Elephas maximus indicus: one gene and its partner. The protein of the gene in region 1 interacts with the protein of each later gene in a pairwise test. Links are inferred from orthologs where the notes say so. Each region holds a gene or a part of one and is shown on either strand. Other genes may lie near its edges.

Region 1 (10,387 bases):
AAGTAGTTGTAAAATGTTATGAAAGGGTAAAAAACATTTTTATTTATTTATTTTTTTAGGGAAAAAACTGATTCTGAGTTCCAGGAAAGGTGGAAAGATCAGCCCTCTCTTCTATTTTGATCTTGGTGTAGCTGGTTTGTATGTGGTCAGAGTCACAAAATATTTTGTAAAAATGCTTTCACCAACTTCTGGTGCAGGACCAGTGCAAAATTTCAAAATTTGCAGGGCCTAGTGCAAAATTAGGAGTTTCCAGGTGTGCAAAGGGATAAGCACTTGACTACTAGCTGAAAGCTTGGTGGCTCTAGCCCACCTAGAGGCACCTCACAAGACAGGCATGGTGATCTGGTTCCAAAAAGTCACAACTTTGAAAACCCTATGGAGCAGTTTTCCATATACATAGGGTCACCATGAGTCGGAATCTACTCAACAGCAACTATACAACAAGAAGTGCAAAATTAAAATGTGGGGCTCCTTCTTCAAAAATTAAGATTTTCAAAACAGTGACAGCAGAGCATTAAACCAATTAAACCCTTCTAAGCGTGGGGCCCTGTGTGACTGCATAGTTTACCCGACCACTAAACATGCTCTGTTCTTGTGTTTAGCCCTCTAACCATAGGCTCTCATAAACAGGCCAGGGACAGGACAGGAAACAGTCAAAGCATCCTGACCAACAGAAACTCAGTTCTGAGAGATGCAGGTCTCGCCTCAGTACACGCCTTTTATATTTATTCCTCCCCTCCCCAGTTTGAGCCAACTTACATAACTAGAAGACACTTTCAGGAGATTTTCTCAGAACAAAGCAATAGTTTGCTTAAAGACTTAGAGTGTTCACTCTTGCCAGATAGAAATTACTTGCAGCTTTCACATGAGTTTTTCATTTTTACGTATTAAATCTATCCATTAAGTTTTACAAAATCTTAGTACCTCCATTGAGGCCCTCAAGCTCATGGGCCTCAATGGAAAGCGGCTACGGTGGCATAGTCTTGTCACTGAGAAAGCAAGTAATTGTTGTGCTTTTATTTTCTGCCTGGCCCTGTCTTACTTATCTTGTGCTGCTATAACAGAAATACCTCAAATGGAGGGCTTTAACAAAGAGAAATTTATTCTCTCACAGTTTAGGACGCTAGAAGCCTGAATTTACGGTACCAGTTCCAGGGGAAGGCTTTGTCTGTCTGTTAGCTCTGGGGGAAGGTTCTCGTCATTAATCTTCCCCTGGTCTAGGAGCTTCAGTGCAGGGACCCCAGGTCCAAAGGACATGTTCCACTCCTGGCTCTCTTTCTTGATAGTATGAGGTCCCTCTCTTCTCTGCTTGATTCTATCTTTTATATCTGAAAAGAGACGGACTCAAGATGCAACCTAATCCTATAGACTGAGTCCTGCCTCATTAACATAACTGCCTTTAAGCCTGCCTCATAAAGGTTAGGATTTACAACAGATAGGATAATCACATCAGATCACAAAATGGTAGACAACCACATAATACTGGGAATCATTGCCTAGCCAAGTTGACACACATTTTGGGGGGACACAATTCATTCCATGACAGGCCCCTATGTTGAACTTTCTAGGAGCTTTTAGTTATTTCTCATACGCTTTCTAGGTGTGCAATCAAATAATCACAAATGATGTCATTTGCTTCCTCCTTTCGATTTGTTGTATCTCTTATTTTGTCTCCTGCCTTTTCATGTTTGCTGTAACGCAGTTTTTTTTTAAGTTTGTTGACAGCTAAAAGAGATTTTAATAACATTTTGTGGGAAACTTGAAAATATGAGAACAAAGCTCGTTTAGAAGAATAAATGCCTAAGAGCAATACAGAAAATTGAGGAAAAAGGAGGGTATATTAAGAGGGATTTGCCTTACCAGGTATCAAAATATCCTATGCTGTTGTTGTTTGCTGTAGAGTCAATTCCAACTTAAAGAACCCCATAAAACAGAGTAGAACTGCCCAATAGGGTTTCCCAGGCTGTAATCTTTATGAAAGCAGATCGCCAAGGATTTTCTTGTGAGGAGCTGCTAGTGACTTAAACAGCCAACGTTTCAATTAACAGCCAAGTGCTTAACCATTGTGCCACCAGGGCTCCTTAAAATATCCTATAGAAGCATGGTAATTAAAACAGTAGAAGTCCTGGCACAAATAGATTTTTGGAAGAAAATAGAATGCATAGACTAAATTTGTCCGTATTTAATACACGAAAGAATGGCATTTCAAATCAATAGAGAAGTGATAGATTATTTAATAAATGGTATTTCAGTAACATAAAAATTAGGACTAAGGTAAAACCATGATAACAAAACTGTATTACAGTTGCAATTATATAATTACAAAAAATATATAAATAATCTTTGGACATAAAAGGCCATTCTAAAAGTGGTCCAAATCTGGGAATCCATAGAGGAAAAGACTGTTAAATATGCCTATATAACAATGCTAAAAAAAAAAAAAAAAAAATCCTCCATAATGGTAAATGATCACAAAGTTAAAAAGACAACAGACAAATTAGGAAAAATATTTGTAACCTATAAAATAAAGGGTTTATTAATAATATTAAAAGTTTCTACAAATAATTTGAAAATTCAACAGGAAAATAGGAAAAAATTTGAACAGACAATTCATGAAAGAAGTACACTGTATCAATGATAATTACAAAAGGTACTTAATATATTGGCTTAGTTTGGGTTCTCTAGAGGAACAAAACCAATGAGATGTATATATGTGTGTATATATATGTATATATACATATAAAACTTCCATTGCCATCAAGTCTATTAGTGACCCTATAATACAGAGTAGAACTGCCCCAAAGGGTTTCCAAGGAGTAGCTGATGGATTCTAACTGCTGACCTTTTGGTTAGCAGCTGGCCTCTTAGCCACTACGCCAGCAGGGTTCCATATATGTATGTAGATGTACCTACATCATATCTATATCTATCGTATACATATCTATCATATCGTATCTATATCTGGTGGTGCAGTGGTTACGAATGCAGCTGTTAACCAAAAGGTCTGCAGTTGGAATCCACCAGCCACTCCTTAGAAACACTATGGGGCAGTTTTATTCTGTCCTATAGGGTTGCTATGAGTCAGGATTGACTTGATGGCAATGGGTTTGTTTCATTTTTGTAAATAAAGAAAGAGAGAGAGAGGAGTTGATTGATTTACTTCAAGGGATTTGCAAATGTAATCGTGGGGCTGGCATGTCCAAAATCCATAGGCCAGGCAGCAGGCCAGAGGCTTCTGCAGTCTCACATTCCAAGATCCACAGACCAGGTGATGAGGTAAGTGCAGGGTCAAAAGAAAGAGAGAAAGTGAGCTCTGCCAGAATATCCGTTTATCCAGTACCAACTGATTGGTTGATCATATCAGATCACATCACAGAAAGTGATTACATTATGGAACAGCAACCAGTCCAATATCTGGCCAAACCACTGAGAACCATAGTGTAGCCAGGCTGACATAAAAAATTAACCATCACATATATGACTTATTAGATAGCTATAAGTTTAAAAGTTTGACCATTCTCTCTTAAAAACTTGTGAGCAGCCATCTAAGATACTCCACTGGTCTCACCCCATCTGGAGCAAGGGAGAATGAAGAAAGTCAAAGATACAAGAAAAAGATTAGTCCAAAGGACTAATGGAGCACAACTGCCATAGCCTCCACCAGACTGAGTGCAGTACAACTAGATGGTGCCCGGCTACCACCACTGACTGCTCTGACAGTGACCACAATAGAGGTTCCCTGACAGAGGTGGAGAAAAATGTAGAACAAAATTCTAATCACAAAAAAGGACTAGACTTATTGGCCTGACAGAGACTGAAGAAACTCTGAGAGTATGTCCCCCGGATGCCTTTTTAGCTCAGTAATGAAGTCACTCCTGAGGTTCACCCTTCAGCCAAAGATTATACAGGGTCATAAAACAGAACAAGACTAAATGGGGACACCAGCCCAGAGGCAAGGACTAGAAGGCAGGAGGGGACAGGAAAGCTGTAACAGAGACCCAAGGTCAAGAAGAGGAGATTGTTGACATGTCATGGGGTTGGTAACCGATGTCACAAAACAATATGTGTACTAATTCTTTAATGAGAAGCTAGTTTGTTCTGTAAACCTTTATCTAAAGTACAATTAAAAAAAAGGAAAAGTTTGACTATTCTCAGTTCTGGGGAGGAAATGGGTTTGGTTACCACCTATTTAAAGGGCAATCTGCTAGTATCTATCAATAGTGTACATACCCTTTGATCCAGCAATTCCACTTGTAGGAAGTCACCCTACAGAAACATTTAAGCATTCATTCTGTTCCTTCCATCTTTGCGGTAAATGATCCAATTGTATAATAATAGGATACTGGTTGGATAAATTGTGGAACATCCAATCTAAAAAAAAAAAAAACCAGTTGCTATTCACTTGATTCTGACCTCGTAGAGACCCACAGAACAGAGTAGAACTGCCCCGTAGAGTTTCCAAGGAGCGCCTTGTGGATTGGAACCGTCAACCTTTTGGTTAGCAGCCATGGCACTTAACCACTACCCCACCAGGGTTTCCAAATAATCTATATAATGTAACAAATAGAAACAATGCATTAAATTTGTATGTGCCGATATGGGGAAAATGTCCGTAATACATTGAGGAATATAAAAAGCAAACTGAAGCACACAACAGATAGTAAGATATCATGTGCTCCAAGGTCACATCAGCATCCTTTCAACTCCCAAAACTAATCACTTGTAACCACCTTATACTGAACTACTTTTCTTTGGAATGCTGTACTTCTGCTCACTGGACAGTCTTCATGTGTTTGCTTACTGTCTGTGGAAAGCTCCATGTGCACAAGGACTTTATTTTTTCAATGCTCTATCCTCAGTTCCTAAAACATTTTAAGTGTCTAATAATTAATTCAAAAAATATGGAGTAACACAGATATATATATATATATATGAACTTTATGTTTCAAACAATGTGGATTTAAGAGAATATCCCCATGATCTAATGTTAAATATATGTACAGCTAAAATATAATATTTGTGTCATCGTTTTCCAATTGACAAAGTTTCACTTATATAGTCTCATTTGGCCCTTACAACATCCCTCTGAAATACATAAAAATAATTAACAGATGCTTGCACTTCACGGTTTGTTAAAGCCATTCTTTCAACTGATGGTCACAGACCTGTTAACTTATCCCTTCCTGTTTACTTGCAAGGCTACTCCTAGTTTTTAGAACACTGCATACTGTCTTTGTATATGGAGTTCCGTAGTTCCAAAATGTTCTTCCCTGCCTCCGCATCCCCGCATCATACGTGTACTCATCCTTCAAAACCCACTTGTAGGCCCGACAGCTGGCCTCCCCGCTCTTCCTCAAACTCAGGGACCCACACAGCAGACACCTGCGATCACACAGCAGACACCTGCGATCACACACCACCCACTCTCTGTAACTGGAAGCTGCCTGAGAGACACTCGAGGCCCGTCTGGCTCCGCCCACGTCTGCGGCCTCCGGGGTTCGAAGTCTCCGCCCCCTCCGAGGAGTTTCCCAAGACCCAGCGCGGCACTTCTCAGCCGCGCTAAGATGGCGACTCCCATGCACCGGCTCATAGCCCGGAGACAGGCGTAAGTAAGGGACCGTTTCGGGCCCCAGGGTGAGCTGGAGACGAGGAGATACGCGTCAACCGACTGATGAGCGGGCGCTGGGATGCGGGGCCGTTTCTGCATCCCCACTGGGGACCGGCGGAGGGTGGGCGTTCTTTTTACACGTCACCTGCTCTCGAGGGTCTCGGGCCCGGGTGGTTAAGTTTGGTGCCCACTGTCTAGCGATTTCGCGGAGGACGACGTACGCTTATATAAGGTCCACGGGTCTGGACAGAGGTTGGTTTGAGGAGAGCCGCCGCATTTGTTTCCTCTGAAGGGGACGCCCAGGAGTTGGTTACTGAGTGGTTTCGTGACGGAGAGTGTGCCTCTCAGCCCACTCAGTCGACCACCCTACGCACGACCAAGGGAGGCTTGAAGCTCTGATCGGACTCCACCACTCTCGCCGAGATACCCTTCAGCCCCCTGTGAAGTCTCAGCTCAGCTGACTTTTCCTGCCCCCTCACTATCGACTTCCCTACAAGCGGCAGAACTGTAAGGCCAACTTTTCTCCCACGCTATCCCCTGGTTTTCTACCATTCATGTACTCTGTCAACAAACGTTTATTCAGTACCTACTGCTCTGTGCAAGAATTTGAATGTAAAAAAAAGAGGTGTTCCAGATAGAATCCCTGCTTTCAGGGAGCTTACATTCTAGTGGTGGAGATAATCAATAAACCAAACAAATTTAGTAAGTACAGTTAGTGATGAGAACTTTAAAGGAAATAAAGTAAGATAAAAAGGAGCCCTGGTGGTGCAATGCTTAAGTGCTCGGCTGCTAACCTAGAGGTTGGTGGTTCAAACTCACCCTTGCTCTGTGGAAGAGGGAGGTGGCAGTTGGCTTTCCTAAAGATTTACAGCCTTGGAAACCCAGTGGGGCAGTTCTACTCTGTCCCATAGGGTCTCTGTGAATTGGAATTGACTCGATGGCAAGGGGTATGGTGTGATGTGTAAGAGGAAAAAACCCACTTAAAATTGGGTGAACTGAAAAGGCATCTCTTAAAAGGTGGAATTTGAACAAAGATTATAAGGGAGGGAAAGGAGGCAGTCATGAGCAGACTTGGGGAAGAGTATCCAGACAATGGCATAATTGCTTTGAGGCTGGAAAAACTTAGTTTTAAGAACTGAAAGAAGGCCATTGTAGCCCATGGGCAAGAGAGAGTGGAACAAGCTAAAATTACAGCGGTTTGTGGCAGACATAATGCAGGAGCCATCCCAAATGTCCCCTTCTTGTAAAGCCTTCTACCAACATGCACACAAACAACCTCAGCCCCTTCATTCTCTCATCATTTCATGCCATCACTGTGTGCACATCTCTAATGCATAGATCACCATATATATTTGTTTATAGTTCTTTTTATATTTACATTTCTAATCTCAGATCCCTGTTCTTTCTCTTTTCCTCTTCATCTGACCCTACTCTCATGAGGAGCTCAAGGAGAGCGTGTAAGGATAAAGACTCAGGGAGTTAGAGAAGTAAACTTGGTTGAAGAGAACTTCAAAGTCACACAGTTCTGAGATCAAGAATGAGGTGATAATAATACTTAATAGGACTGCTAAGTGATGTCACCAGGGTCCCATATCTCCCTGTCTTTCTCTAGTGTGCTCTTTTGGGTGTTGGCTCCACACTTGGATAGGATCTCTCCTTTGGTCCCAAGATAGCTGCCGTATCTAGGGTCCTTTTATGTCCTTTCAGCTTCAACTCCTTCAAATAAGGCAAAAATGATTTTATCTCATTGGTCTTGATTGTGTTACATGACCAACCCTGAACCATGTTTTTGAGAATTGTGAAGCCCTGATTGCCCTAGATTGCATTCGTCGCCCAGTACAATTGGCCATTTTACCATAAACCAATGATGAGCTGGGTGGGAAGGTCAGAAGTGGTGAATGAATGCCGGATTGGCAAAACTAGCCTATGTCTACTGTAAATATGAAGTAAAAACAAGACTTTAGCAACCAAAGAAAATTACCGTTTGTTTTTCACAGTATCAGAAAGATTAACAAAGGTAATGTTTCTAGAGTGTGCCTGGTTTTGGTACATAAGCCACACAGAAATAGAAAACAAATCTTACCTTTAGGAGCTTCTGGTCGTGTTGGGAAGAAAACATGTGCTGTATAATAAAAGATGGTGTCGTATATAGACTAAGTTACCCAGGGATTCAGAGAAGAAGGTACTTTATAGGCTAGGGGAGTCCAGGAATGTTTGGAGAATATACAAGAGTGGAGACAGCAGGAGAGGAGCCTTTACTTTTCATTTTATATTCAACAAAAAGATTTCATTTTATGTATAACGGGCATATATTACTTTCATAATAGTAAGTTTAAAACTTTGTTTTAGGGTTATGAGAAGTGAGGAAGTATATTGTTTTCATTCTTTAATAAACTTTCTGGATTAATAGACAAGGGGTGAGGGTGGAGAGGAATAAAAGAAAAAAAAGAAAGTGAGCCTAAATTTGAACTCCCCATTCAGTATATCTTCCTGGAACTTTTTATTATCAAGCTCCTTTAAGTCAGTTGGGATGAAATTACTTCATCTTGTGAATTATAATGACATCTGCCCATACGTAAGTAGATTGTAGAATCTTGGCACTATCCACTGTCTTCTACTAAACCCTCTACTGGTTTCCATTATTTGCTCGTCAGCATCCAGAGTAGCCATCTAATTTTGCCTTGAAGACGTCTAGTAATGACAAACTCACTACCTCCTGAAGTGAGTTGTTACACTTTTCAAGTCTGTCCAAAAGTTTATGTTGAGCTGGAAGGAAAAGAATATTTATGAAGGCAAAACCTTCTAACTTCCCTGCTTTTGACCCAAGCTGTGATTTCAGTTAGTTAAAAACCCTAAGTGTTTCCCACATGAACTGGCATCAAGTCTGGCCTCCCCTGTCCTGTATTTGTATTGATTTTCTGGAATTCAGTGTCAGACTTACTTTTATCCTTGTTAACTTTCATCTTGTTAGACTTGACACAGAGTTCCAGCCTTTCAAGATCTTTTTAGATCCTGATTTGGTCATCTACCATATTAGCTATCCCTCTCAGCTTTGTGTCAACTGCAGGTTTGATAAATATGAACAACTGTGTCCTCATCCAAGGCATTGATAAAAATGTTGGACAAGACCAAATTGAGGACAAAAACCCTGCAAGCAACCATTGGATACCTCTCTGTATATTTCAGCCCATTAAACAGCACTCTGTCCTTGATGTTCAGCTGATTGTAAATCTACTTAAGGTTCATAAAGGTAATTGTGAGAAACTTCTAAGATGCCTTATTGAAGTACAGATACACAACAGGCAATGAGGTATTAGTCTGTAATGATTTGACACCTAATGATCACGGCTTCTCTTTCTGAGTAGATTTAATAAATCCAGCCAGAATTTTTCATAGAATAGATGTCAAGTTCATTGGTCTAGTTTGTGGAATCTACCTTTTTTCCCCTTTGAAAATCAAAACAGCATTTGACTACCTATAGTCTCTCAGCATCACTCCTGTTTGCCAAAGTTCCTCAGATTACCAGCAGCAGTACAGCAGTCTCACCTGGAAAATCTCTCAGTATGTAGGGGAGTAGTTCACCTGCGCCACGTGACAGTTAAGGTCTCCTTTACCCACTCCTTAGGTATCTTGGGCTTCAATTTTACTCTTTTCATTCTGCGTATAATTTTTTTGAGAGTTAAGACAGGAGCAAAATAAAAATAGTCTTGTTTGCTCTCTGATGACAACATTGGTGTCCTGTTTCCCTAGCACCTCCAATCATGAGCCTGTCTCTTTTTTTGATTCTTTGTGCTTTGAATATAACCAAAACTATAAAACCATTTTTTATGTTCTTGGTATTTTTCATTCAGCTCTTTTTGACAGAAGTCTTCCAGATATTTCTCTTACAGGCTTTTACTACTCTTCTGTACTCTTCCTTAGTTATATGTTCTTTTTAAAAATGTCATTTAAAATATTGTTTTATGATTTTGCATGCAGTCTGTATTCATTATAGAAAAGTTAGGAAATATGCATAAGGGGGAGAAAAAGGATTATAACCCTATACCAAAGATAGTTGTTTACATTTCAGTATGTAACCTTTTAGACCATTTATAACATTTTAAATAGCCTCATAGTATTCTCTGTATGAATACATGTAACTTTTTGGTCAGTTTCTCTGTTGTTTCATAGTTAGGGTTACTTTTTCTTTTATAATTTATTTTATTATTGTTGTCGTTATTGAGATTGTACACAGCAAAACATGTAATTCAGCAGTTCCTTCATGTACCATTTAGTGACATTGATTACATTCTCCCTCTAAGGTTCCTATCTAATTTTTTGAGTTGCTGTTGTCAGTTTGATCCCATATGGATCTTAAAAGAGCATAATGCTCAGGGCAGACATTTTTTACTAGTTAAGCTAAATTATTATTTGGCTTTAAGAAGACTTGAGGGGATCTTTTTAGTTTAAGGTTTAAAGATTATCTCAGGGCAACAGTTCCAGGGATTCATCCAGCCTCCATGGCTCCAGAAAGCCTGGATTTTATGAGAATTTGAAATTCTGTGCTGTATTTTTCCTCTTTTGATTTCAGGATTCTTCTGTGGAATCTTTGATGAAAATTTTCAGTAATGGTGACCAGGCACCATCCAATTCTTCTGGTCTTATGGTAAGGGAGGCAGTTGTTCATGGAGGCAATTAGCTGTACAATCCAATTCCTTCTCCTGTTCCTGGCAATCGTCCTTCTTATATTGCTCCAGGCAAATAGATACCACTTGTTGTACCTTGGATGGCTGCTTGCAA
Region 2 (10,056 bases), on another chromosome or scaffold:
AAGTCACATCAAAACCCCATTCCCCGAAGTCTAATGGCTCAAAATCTCCCAGGTAACCAAACTCTCTGGTGGTTTTCATCCAATGTAACAACTATGTATACAGAGAAATATGTTTTTCCAACTGCAAAGTGGATAACAAATGCTATTTACTGAAAGAAAAATACCCTGCCATAACCAAGCTGTACCATTTACCGATTACAAGTTCTTTTATTCTTACTCAAATTATTCTGAAATATTAGTTATCAGGCAAATAATTCCAGAAAGTCAAGTTTCAGGAAAATATAATAAGATAGAATTTTAATATTAAAAAATAGCATTCAAAATGCTTGTCTGCTTAATGGACTGCATCCATTCACTTAGCGTGAACACAACATGAAGTTATGGGAAAAAAAAGTCTGGACAATTCACATTATCTACAGACTTCAGAGTAAAATGGGACCTGCTTCCGTACCATCATTCTGTACCTAAGCCCAGTCTAGTTCACTGTGAAATCAAAAATACCCTACAGAAGCAACAAGGTTATGGAGAGCAAAACATTTTTCAAGAAAAAAATAACATTTCACAGAAGAAGAAAATATCAAAAGAGCAAATTCCTTTTAATGTGTATTCTCTGTTTCTCATTTTGCATCCCTTTAAGTTGCATCTCTTAAAAATCTGAAAGCCAAAAATCTTACAAGAAGCCACATACAAAAAAAAAAAAAGATAAATCAGTAATAACTAAATCATCAATTAGTCTCTTGGCTAACGAGGCACTGTTGGGTTTAGCTGTTGACCAGTCAGTTGGCTGAGTCACAGATAACCAGAACCATGTCACGAAAGAAAAATCTAACACATCGTCAACTATTTCTCATATATCCCTACCACAGGCCTTAGATGCTTCCCAACTTCCTATCACAAACATGTCCGTGAAATAAAAAAGACAGGCCTTTGTGAGGAACTAACAAAATACGAATTTACTTAGAACAAATAACTCCTCTCCTTTAGCAACAGAACCGAGAGTATAAGAATATATTAAAAGGCCCTTGGGAAGGATAAGCAAATTGTTGCAGTATTGCTTCAGTAGAGAACATTTTAAAAAATCCACCTTTCTAGAGGTCTAATATAAAAAAGGATCCAATGTTGAGATTTAAGAAAAAACCACACCTGACATAATTTTTAGTTACCTTCTGTTTTTGCTTCCACTGTTCCAGTTTTGATGGCTGGATAAAGCAGGAGACTATCTTGCATATATAAATCAAGTTCATTGGTGTCATTGAAAAGGTTTTTAATGCTTTATATCCATATTCTTCCATTCAATGAACTTTAAAAGATCGATTTTTACATGTTCCTCCTCGGGAGATTCTAAGTTTCAAGAAACTGGTTCATCTACTGACACCTTAAATTCTCACTTCGGAAAATTCATGATTCATCTTTCAAACCTAATGTTTGCAAATATATCTGTATTCTAAAAACGGGGGAGTAGTAGATTCAAACCGTGCCTGTGAACCAAGGATTTCCTAGAACCACAGATCTAAACTCTCAGTTCTCAGGTCAGAATTTTAAGCTATTGTGGACAATGAAAACCCTAAGAATCAGTATAAAAGCATAGGGTTGTGACTAGGATGACTACATCTCCTGGTTTATACCTGCTGTTCTTGGGTTTAATCCACCCTCAAAAGGGTTCTGGTCTGAGGCTCAAGTCACAACAGTGGTCGCCTTGGGGAGTAGGGAGGTGTTTACTGAAGGGGAGGAGATACAAAGGGAGCCCTTTGGAGAGCTGAAAATGCTCTGTATCTTGATTGGATTGTGGTTATCAGAGCGTATATACGTAAGAAGTCACTGAGTGTGCTCTCAAGCTCTTACTGTAAGTTATACTCAATAAAAGAGTAAATATAATTTTTAAAACACATTCAAATACATTTTTCAGTCTTTGTTCAGATAATATAGCTGACCAAGATGTTTTCCCAAATGTATTTTAATAAAAATTCATATTGTGAGCACTTTTATGTAGAACTTTTCAAAAATTAGACTGTGATTTTTCTAGATCTTTTTTTAAAAAAAAAAGAAAGTCAAATTTTAGAACTTAAAGCACACTGAAAAATGAACTATCCATCCCCTAATTCTGCACGCGGAAAATCAGTTCTATAAAGGCTGAGTAAGGAAGGCACCCAGGGTAAGATACCCAGAAGACAAGGGCAGTAACAGAGCTGTTTCCTGATCTTGGGCCACTCCCTTCCCACGAGGCCGTTATTTTCTGACATTGTAAACAAATCAGAACTTTGAATCTATCTGTGGCCTAGAAACATGCAACCCCTTCTTTAAAATACGAGGTCAACAGGCCCCAAAGTGTCCTCACAGAGACATACGTCTCCCTTCATCCTCTCAAGACAGTTGCTCAATTAACAATTACATTTTCAGACATTTTACTTCAGATACAAAAAAAAAAAAAAATAAGTCTAACATCTTCTAAATGTGGTTCAAGAGGAAAAGGCACGCGGGGTGGGGGGGCGCTGCTAAAACCCATCTAAGCTCCCTTCAAATCTCTTTGACGGTGCCTTGGTTCTCAAAAACATATCGCTGCTGAACAGGACTCACAAAACATCACTTGGGGCCATTAACCAGGATTGCTTTGAGCGACCCGCTGGGAACAACCCCCACTTAGGTCAACTCTGCCTGAGTTTTGATGGGAGTGTCTTCCTCCCCCCTTCCCGATTATTTAACGCCAGAACCCCACTCCTTGAGCACAACAACACCTGTGTGTGACCTAGGCATTACACTTTAGATTTAGACTCCGCCTGAAAAGCTGACATTTTGTGAAAAACTTAACATACATCCTTCCCGCGGGAATTTATTTCTGTTCTCACAAGGCGTTTGTGCTCCCCACAAAGCAGGCCTTGCTTTTCAGGACACTGCCTGCCTCTCCACAGCCTCCTTCCCAGTGCCCAGCACAAGGCTTTAACAACAGGAATGGAAACGGTCACGGATCTCCAGGGTGGCACGGCGGGTCGGGACGCTGAACAGGTCCGCTCGGGGTCAGGCGGCGAACCCGGCGAGCCCACTGCCCGCTCGCGCGCGGCGCCGGGAGGCCCCGCGGACTGCACAACGCCCGAAGCAACCGGTTGCGGTGGCCGCTAGGCGCTTCGCAGTCGCGCAGCGGTCACCTCGGCACAGCGAAGTTCGGCCCGGCCGCGCGGGCGGCGCGCCCCCGGCTCCCGCTGCGAGTTCGCGCCTCGGCCCCGGAGCGAGCCCGGGGGGCGGGTCCGCAGGGGCTCGGCGGGCGGGAGCGCGGGGCGGGGCGCGCGGCGCAGGGAGGGGCGCGCGGCGGGCCCAGCGTGCCGGGAACTTGGGCGCCCGCCCGTGCCTTGGCCCGGACACTTTCCTTTCACGCCTCCCGCGGGCTGACGCGCGCCGCCGAGCCGGCACTGACGGCCGCCGCCGCCGCTCTCCGCCGCGGCGAGGCGCCCAGGCGCGCTCCTGCAGCCGGGGCGGCCGGCGCGCGGGGACGAGCGGGGACGCGGGCGCGCGCAGACGCCGCGCTCCCCCCGCTCCGCCCCCGCCCCCAACGTGCCGCCGCCGCCCGTTGGCGCCTCAGCCTGCGCGCCTGCCGGCGCCCGGCGATTTTCCGTTGGCAAAGTTGCGCGGCCGCCTCGAGGGGGGCGCCGCGGGTTCCCCACCCCGGCGCCGCCGCCGCCCCTTCAGGCCGCCGCGCGGGAAGGCCCAGCTGGCGGCCCGCTTTTTTACCTGCCGGGAGTTTTCGCGCGCGCGCTGGCTCAATCGCTCGCTTTTTTTCCTCTCGCGCTCGTTCTCTTTCTTTCTTTCCTTCTTTTTGCTTCCCCGAGCGGGCGCTTTTTCCGCTTGCGCCGCCTGCGCTCGCCCGCTCGCGCCCTCCTTCCTGCTGGGCTCGGCGGAGCGGGCGGCCGGCAGCTCTCCCCGCCCCCCTCCACCCGCGCTCCGGCGGAGGCGGCGGCGGCGCTCCGCGCTCCGACTCATTCCAATATGGCACAGGCGCAGGGCGCATGCGCCCGCGCCCCCCCACCCCCTCACCTCCGCGGTCCTCCCGGCAGCCCGCGCCCCTCGCGTCGCGCGCGTGGCGCCCCCAGCTTGGCCTCCCCGCGCTCGCCCGCGCGTCTTCCCGCTGGGCCAGCCGGGGACGCGGGAGGAGGCGAGGGTCGAGTGCTGCCAGCGGTCCGCAGCTCTGCCAGCCGCCCGCGCCCTCGGCCCCTCGCGCCTCCAGCCCGCAACTCGCCGCGGATGCCCGGGAGGCCGTGGCGCCGGGACGCGGCGTCTCCTCGGGTCCCCGACGGCGCGGTGGCCTTGCGCAGACGGGCCCCGACGGGGGGACACGTCCACGGGGACCAGCGCCCGCCCTGGCCCTGTTCGGATCCGGAGGGACGGGCCCGCGCCTCACCCCAGGCTGTGGACGGATCCGCTGGCGTCCCCGGGTCGGTTTTGGCGTCCGGGCCCAGGCGAAGCGCGCCGCTGTCGCCCGCACGTCACCGCCGCGGGCACGATGGCATTAGCGGAGGAGAGAACGGAGCGCCGCCCGGCCCCAGATGGGCGCGCGTGGTGGCCGGGGGAGCTGCGCCCGCCCGCCTGACCCACGTCGGGGACGGGCGCGTTCTTTTCGACCTGGAATGGCCCCCAAGTGGCCCCTGTGTGCGAAGTGCAACCCAGGTTCCCGGCGCACCCGGTTTCCCTAGGCTTCCGCAGGAGGCTCCCTGTAAATCCGAGTTCTCCTTGCCGCTCAGGACACCGGCGAGGGCACTGGACCGCTGCGGAATCTTGGCTGGAGAGCTGGGGCCTCGGATGGAATAGAACCTCGAGGGTGGCTGCAAGCCAGCCCTGCAGCCCGAGGTGGCTACGGGTGGTCGCAGTCCCCGAGAGCGAAACTTCCCTAGCGAGCACAGGTGCCCGTGGGGCACACCCCCACACACCTGCTCCAGAAAATTCCCTCCTAAGGGAGGTTTCCTTCGCCGCCCACCCCCCACCTCTCAGACTCCCTGGCCCGGGGAAGGTCTCGGACTGGGCGGGGAGGGTTCCTGCTGTTCAGGAAGGAGGAGGCGACCTCGACTCTAGGGAGAGGTCTGGGATACCCACAGTGTGCCAAACACCCGCTCAGGCCACCTCCTACTGCCCTCACCACCGCGCTGGGAATGTTACCTCATTTTACAGACAAACTTGCTCAAAGTTACACTGCTGGCTGGATTTGAATCCACGTTTTTGTTTTGTTTTTTTTTTTTTTATCTAGTGAAAAGAGAATACAACAAGCAGAGAGAAAGAAAAATGTAAAAAGAATAAAGTATCCATAATGCTACTACAGAACGCAACTTTTCAAGCAGAAAATCTTCCGTAAATATGTTTTTGCATAGTTGCATACTTTTGTGTTTTGCTGCTTTCACTAACATTTTTCTTTTCTCCGCCTGATTCTTTTTTTTTAATTTTTATTGTGCTTTAAGTGAAAATTTACAAATGAAGTCAGTCTCTCACACAAAAACTTATGTACACCTTGCTACATACTCCCAATTGCTCTTCCCCTAATGAGACAATCTGCTCCCTCCTTCCAGTCTCTCTTTTCGTGTCCATTTCACCAGCTTCTAACCCCCTTTACCCTCTCATCTCCCCTCCGGAGAGGAGATGCCAACATAGTCTCAAGTGTGCACCTGATCCAAGAAGCTCACTCCTCTCCAACCCATTGTCCAGTCCAGTCCCTGCCTGAAGAGTTGGCTTTGGGAGTGGTTCCTGTCCTGGGCCAACAGAAGGTCTGGGGGCCATGACCACTGGGGTCCTTACAGTCTCAATCAGACCATTAAGTCTGGTCTTCTTAGGAGAATTTGGGGTCTGCATCCCACTGCTCTCCTGCCCCCTCAGGGTTTCTCTGTTGTGGTCCCTGTCAGGGCAGTCATCGGTTGTAGCTAGGCACCATCCAGTTCTTCTGGTCTCAGGCTGATGTAGTCTCTGGTTTATGTGGCCCTTTCTGTCTCTTGGGCTCGTAATTACCTTTTGTCCTTGGTGTTCTTGACTCTCCTTTGATCCAGGTGGGTTGAGACCAATTGATGCATCTTAGATGGATGCTTGCTAGCATTTAAGACCCCAGACGCCACTCTCCAAAGTGGGATGCAGAGTGTTTTCTTAATAGATTTTATTATGCCAAATGACATAGATGTCCCCTGAAACCATGGTCCCCAGACCCCTGCCCCTGCTACGCTGGCCTTCGAAGCATTCAGTTTATTCAGGAAACTTCTTTGCTTTTGGTTTAGTCCAGTTGTGCTGACCTCGCTGGTATTGTGTGTTGTCTTTCCCACCACCTATAGTAGTTCTTATCTACTATCTAATTAGTGAAAATCCCTCTCCCACCCTCCCTCCCTTCCCCCTCTCGTAACCATCAAAGAATATTTTCTTCTCTGTTTAAACTGTTCCTCAAGTTCATATAATTGTGGTCTTGTACAATATTTGTCCTTTTGCAACTGACTAATTTCATTCAGCATAATGCCTTCCAGATTCCTCCATGTTATGAAATGTTTCACAGATTCCTCACTGTTCTTTGTCGATGCGTAGTATTCCATTGTATGAATATACCATAATTTATTTATCCATTCATCCGTTGATGGGCAGTCACCTGATTCATTTTTAAGGGGTGCAGGTATCTTCATCTATCCACTCAGTCCCGTAATATAGTATATTTTGGTTCTTTACAAATGTTTGCTAATACATTTTTGAATTCTGCACTTGGGACAAATTCCCAGGAGTTGAATAATCAGATGGAAGGCAGCTGGTCCTGCCCTGGCATTTGACTTTCTCAAAAAGCTGCCCTCCCTCACTCTACCACCTCCTAGAAATAAGCATAAGGAGTTCAACATAACATTTCTAAGCATTTGGTACCATGTTTCCCCCTACTTTCCTATTGTCTATTGGTAGTTCAAGGTTACCTTAATTAACATTTCCTAGATGACTTTCAAAAATGAATTTTTTTCCATGCATTTACTATCCCTAATCCCCCTTCTGTGAACCAACTGTTCATATCCTTCCATCTCTTGGGGACTTGACCTTCTAACTTTGAACAGCATTTTTTTTTTTTAATTACAGATACTATTCCTTTGTCATCATTGATGCAAATATTTCCCAGTCTGTTATTTTCGTTCATTTTATTTTAATGTTCAATCTGTCATTCTAGTCCTTTGTGATTTTTTTATTGCTTCAGTCCCAACAAAGTGAGCTTTCTTCCACCCATCTGATAATCTATTTTCTGCTAGTTTTTCTACAATTCCATTTTATATTTAATTCTTTGATGATTATCCGTCCCCAGTTTATCATGCTGTGTGGAGTAAAATAGGAATTTAACTCACTGCCACTGTAACCAGTTGTTATCTGATTATGCAGACACCATTTATTAAATAAGTCTTCCCTTACCCTTTGTTCAGTCAAACCTACTTTTAGGTTAGATTTTATGTCAGGATTTTGATTTTGGTTGGTCTATTTCTGAATTTTCCATTTCCTTCCAAAGACCTTGGTCTGAGCAAATACTACAGGGACATAAATATTGGTTCTTTGAAATAGGCTGTAACATCTGACAGGGGTAAGATTCCCCCTTGTGGGATTTTTTTTTTTTTTTTTTAACCACAAATGAAAAGACAATATGGAAATTCACTTGGTATCCACACTAGTTTACATTTGGGGATAGACCACCCAGGTTCAACACTTTCCAGATCTGTAATCTTAGCAATTTACTTATCTCCTCTAGGTCTCAGGGTCCTAGTCTATGACACAGGGATGACAGCAACACTTGCCTCACAAGTTCCATGCCTGGCATGTAGTAAATGCTTGCTAAATGTCAGTAATTGTTGTTGCTGATACTTTTAGTTCCAAAAAACTCATATTGTGATTTTGCATGAAGTTGCATCAAACCTATGAAGTAGCTTGAACAGATCAAATATTCTATAACACTGTACTTTACTAACGAGGACATGCACTATCTTTCAATGTATTCAAATATTTTAAATCTCGCAGACAAAATCGAGGTAGGTCCTTCATTAATTCCAGCCTCTCTCCACCACTCACCTTCATGACCCCTAAGGAAAAGGAAAATCAGACAACCATGAGGAATGGTTGAAAGCGTCGTTTGAGCACCTTCCTTGCACTGGGCCCTGTGTGGTAAGTGTGGTGACGGCCTCTAAGCATCCGTCAGGGTAGTGGAGGCATACCCAATAAAAGAACAGCAAACCAGGGCCTCCCAGGTCACCCTTAGTGAGAGACAAAACTAGGCCATGAACCAGGTATGCCAGCTCCTCAGCCACCCTGCTACTTGGAAATTCAGGTGGGCAGTTATTCACAGAACAGACAGCCCCCGGAGAAGCATAGAGCCAGAGTAACCTGTGGAAAACTGACTTCTTTTCATGGCACACCACAACCTGAAAGCCTCCCAAGGCTTCCCATCAATTTGAGTAAGTCCAAAAGCCTTACTTTGGCCTACAAGGCTGGCCCTGCCCACCTCCAAATTCATCTGCCATCACTCACCTGCGTTTCTCACTGCATTTCAGCTGCACCTGTCTCCTTTCCATTCCATAAATGTGCCAAGTTCCCTCCCACCTCAGGGCCCTCGCATATGCTCTTCCTACTGCCTAGCACAATCTCTACCTTCTCATTGTTCTGGTGTCTGTTTAAAAGAGACCTTCCCTACCCACCCCATCTAAACAGATTCCCTCTCTCTTTCCCCTACCTGTTTCCTTCACAGTTAGTATTTACAATTTATACCCATGTTTGTTTGTCATTTGTTTGGGCTCTGTCTCCTCTCTACCCCCTACAGACAGACATCAGTTGCCTGAGTGCAGAGATGTGCCTGTCTTGTTCACCATGAGGCCAGCCCTTTCCTTATCTGGACAATGACCCCTAGAGGCAGTGGGTGGCTAGCCGGTCATTTGGCAGCATCCAAGACCAGAGGCTGGCATGCCCAGTCTCTGGCCATTCCCAACTTGGTCTCCGTCATGGATTGAATTATGTCCCCCCAAAAATGTGTGTATCGATTTGGCTGGGCCATGATTCCCGGTATCGTGTGATTTTCATATATGTTGTAAATCCTGCCTCTGTGATGTTAATAAGGGAGCATGGCTGGCAGTTGTTAGTGAGGCAAGACTCAATCTACAAAATTGAATTGTGTCTTGAGGCAATCTCTTGAGATATAAAAGGAAGAAGCAAGCAGAGAGACAGGGGGACCTCATACCACCAAGAAAGCAGCGCCAGGAGCAGAGCATGTCCTTTGAACCCAAGGTCTCTGCACAGAGAAGCTCCTAGTCTGGGGAAAGATTGATGCGAAGGCCAGCAGGAAGAGAAAATCTTCCCCTGGAGCTGACGACACGAATTTGGACTTTTAGCCTACTTTACTGTGAAGAAATAAATTTCTCTTTGTTTAAGTCATCTACTTGTGGTATTTCTGTTACAGCAGCACTAGATGACTAAGACAGTCTCCCTGCCAGCTCTCTAGGGTAAGGGCTATGGTTCCCATCCTCACTGACCGAGGGGTCAGTTGTTGGTCGTTCCATATGGACCCTGGTCCCCCGGAGCCTTGCCTGCTACTTCCGAGCAGGCCTGCTCTCTGGGGTGAGCATCAGCTCAGGGTCCTATCCTGGGTGAGAACCCAAGGTCCGAGGCTGGACCCCAGGGACTGGCAGAGCCATTTTCAACCCAAGAATTTAAGTTCCACAGCCCTGCCAAGCCCTGCCATCAGCAATCAGCAGCCTGCCGTTGCCACTGACCAGCCAGCTCCCTTCAGTCAGCCCAAGTGAAGCGAGCCATGTAATGATTCCCTGAGACTAATTACCGGAGTGGTCAAGTGATCACCACCAGAAAACCACTGCTCAAGCCATGCTGCTCTCTGCTGAGCTCAGCTGGCTTCTGCCATGTGTCCCCCCATACCTGCCCTACCTGTCTCTGTCTTGGCTCCTGCAAATCCCCAAGACACCCCTCTTCCCTAGGGTATGTTGTAAGGGAAAAAGTGCTAGGCTAGAAGGCAGACACCCTGGGGTCAAGCCCAGATTAAGCCACGGCTTCTCTGTGGGAATCTTCCATGGGACCTGCTCTGGGCCT

Evidence for each region.
Region 2: the proteins of ZCCHC10 (region 1) and SFMBT1 interact in binary tests that used the Homo sapiens proteins (3 or more experiments, as listed by UniProt). The two-hybrid records come from large-scale screens. The link is inferred for Elephas maximus indicus from reciprocal best matches to the Homo sapiens genes ZCCHC10 and SFMBT1.

Annotation. Positions count from the first base shown.
Region 1 is NC_064820.1:124,404,144-124,414,530, forward strand, and holds the start of ZCCHC10 (zinc finger CCHC domain-containing protein 10), read left to right. Parts: upstream 1-5,534; 5' UTR 5,535-5,564; coding exon 5,565-5,605; intron 5,606-10,387.
Region 2 is NC_064838.1:57,245,700-57,255,755, forward strand, and holds the start of SFMBT1 (scm-like with four MBT domains protein 1), read right to left. Parts: upstream 4,673-10,056; 5' UTR 4,388-4,672; intron 4,367-4,387; exon of another isoform or gene 3,721-4,366; intron 1-3,720. UniProt on the Homo sapiens protein: Histone-binding protein, which is part of various corepressor complexes. Mediates the recruitment of corepressor complexes to target genes, followed by chromatin compaction and repression of transcription.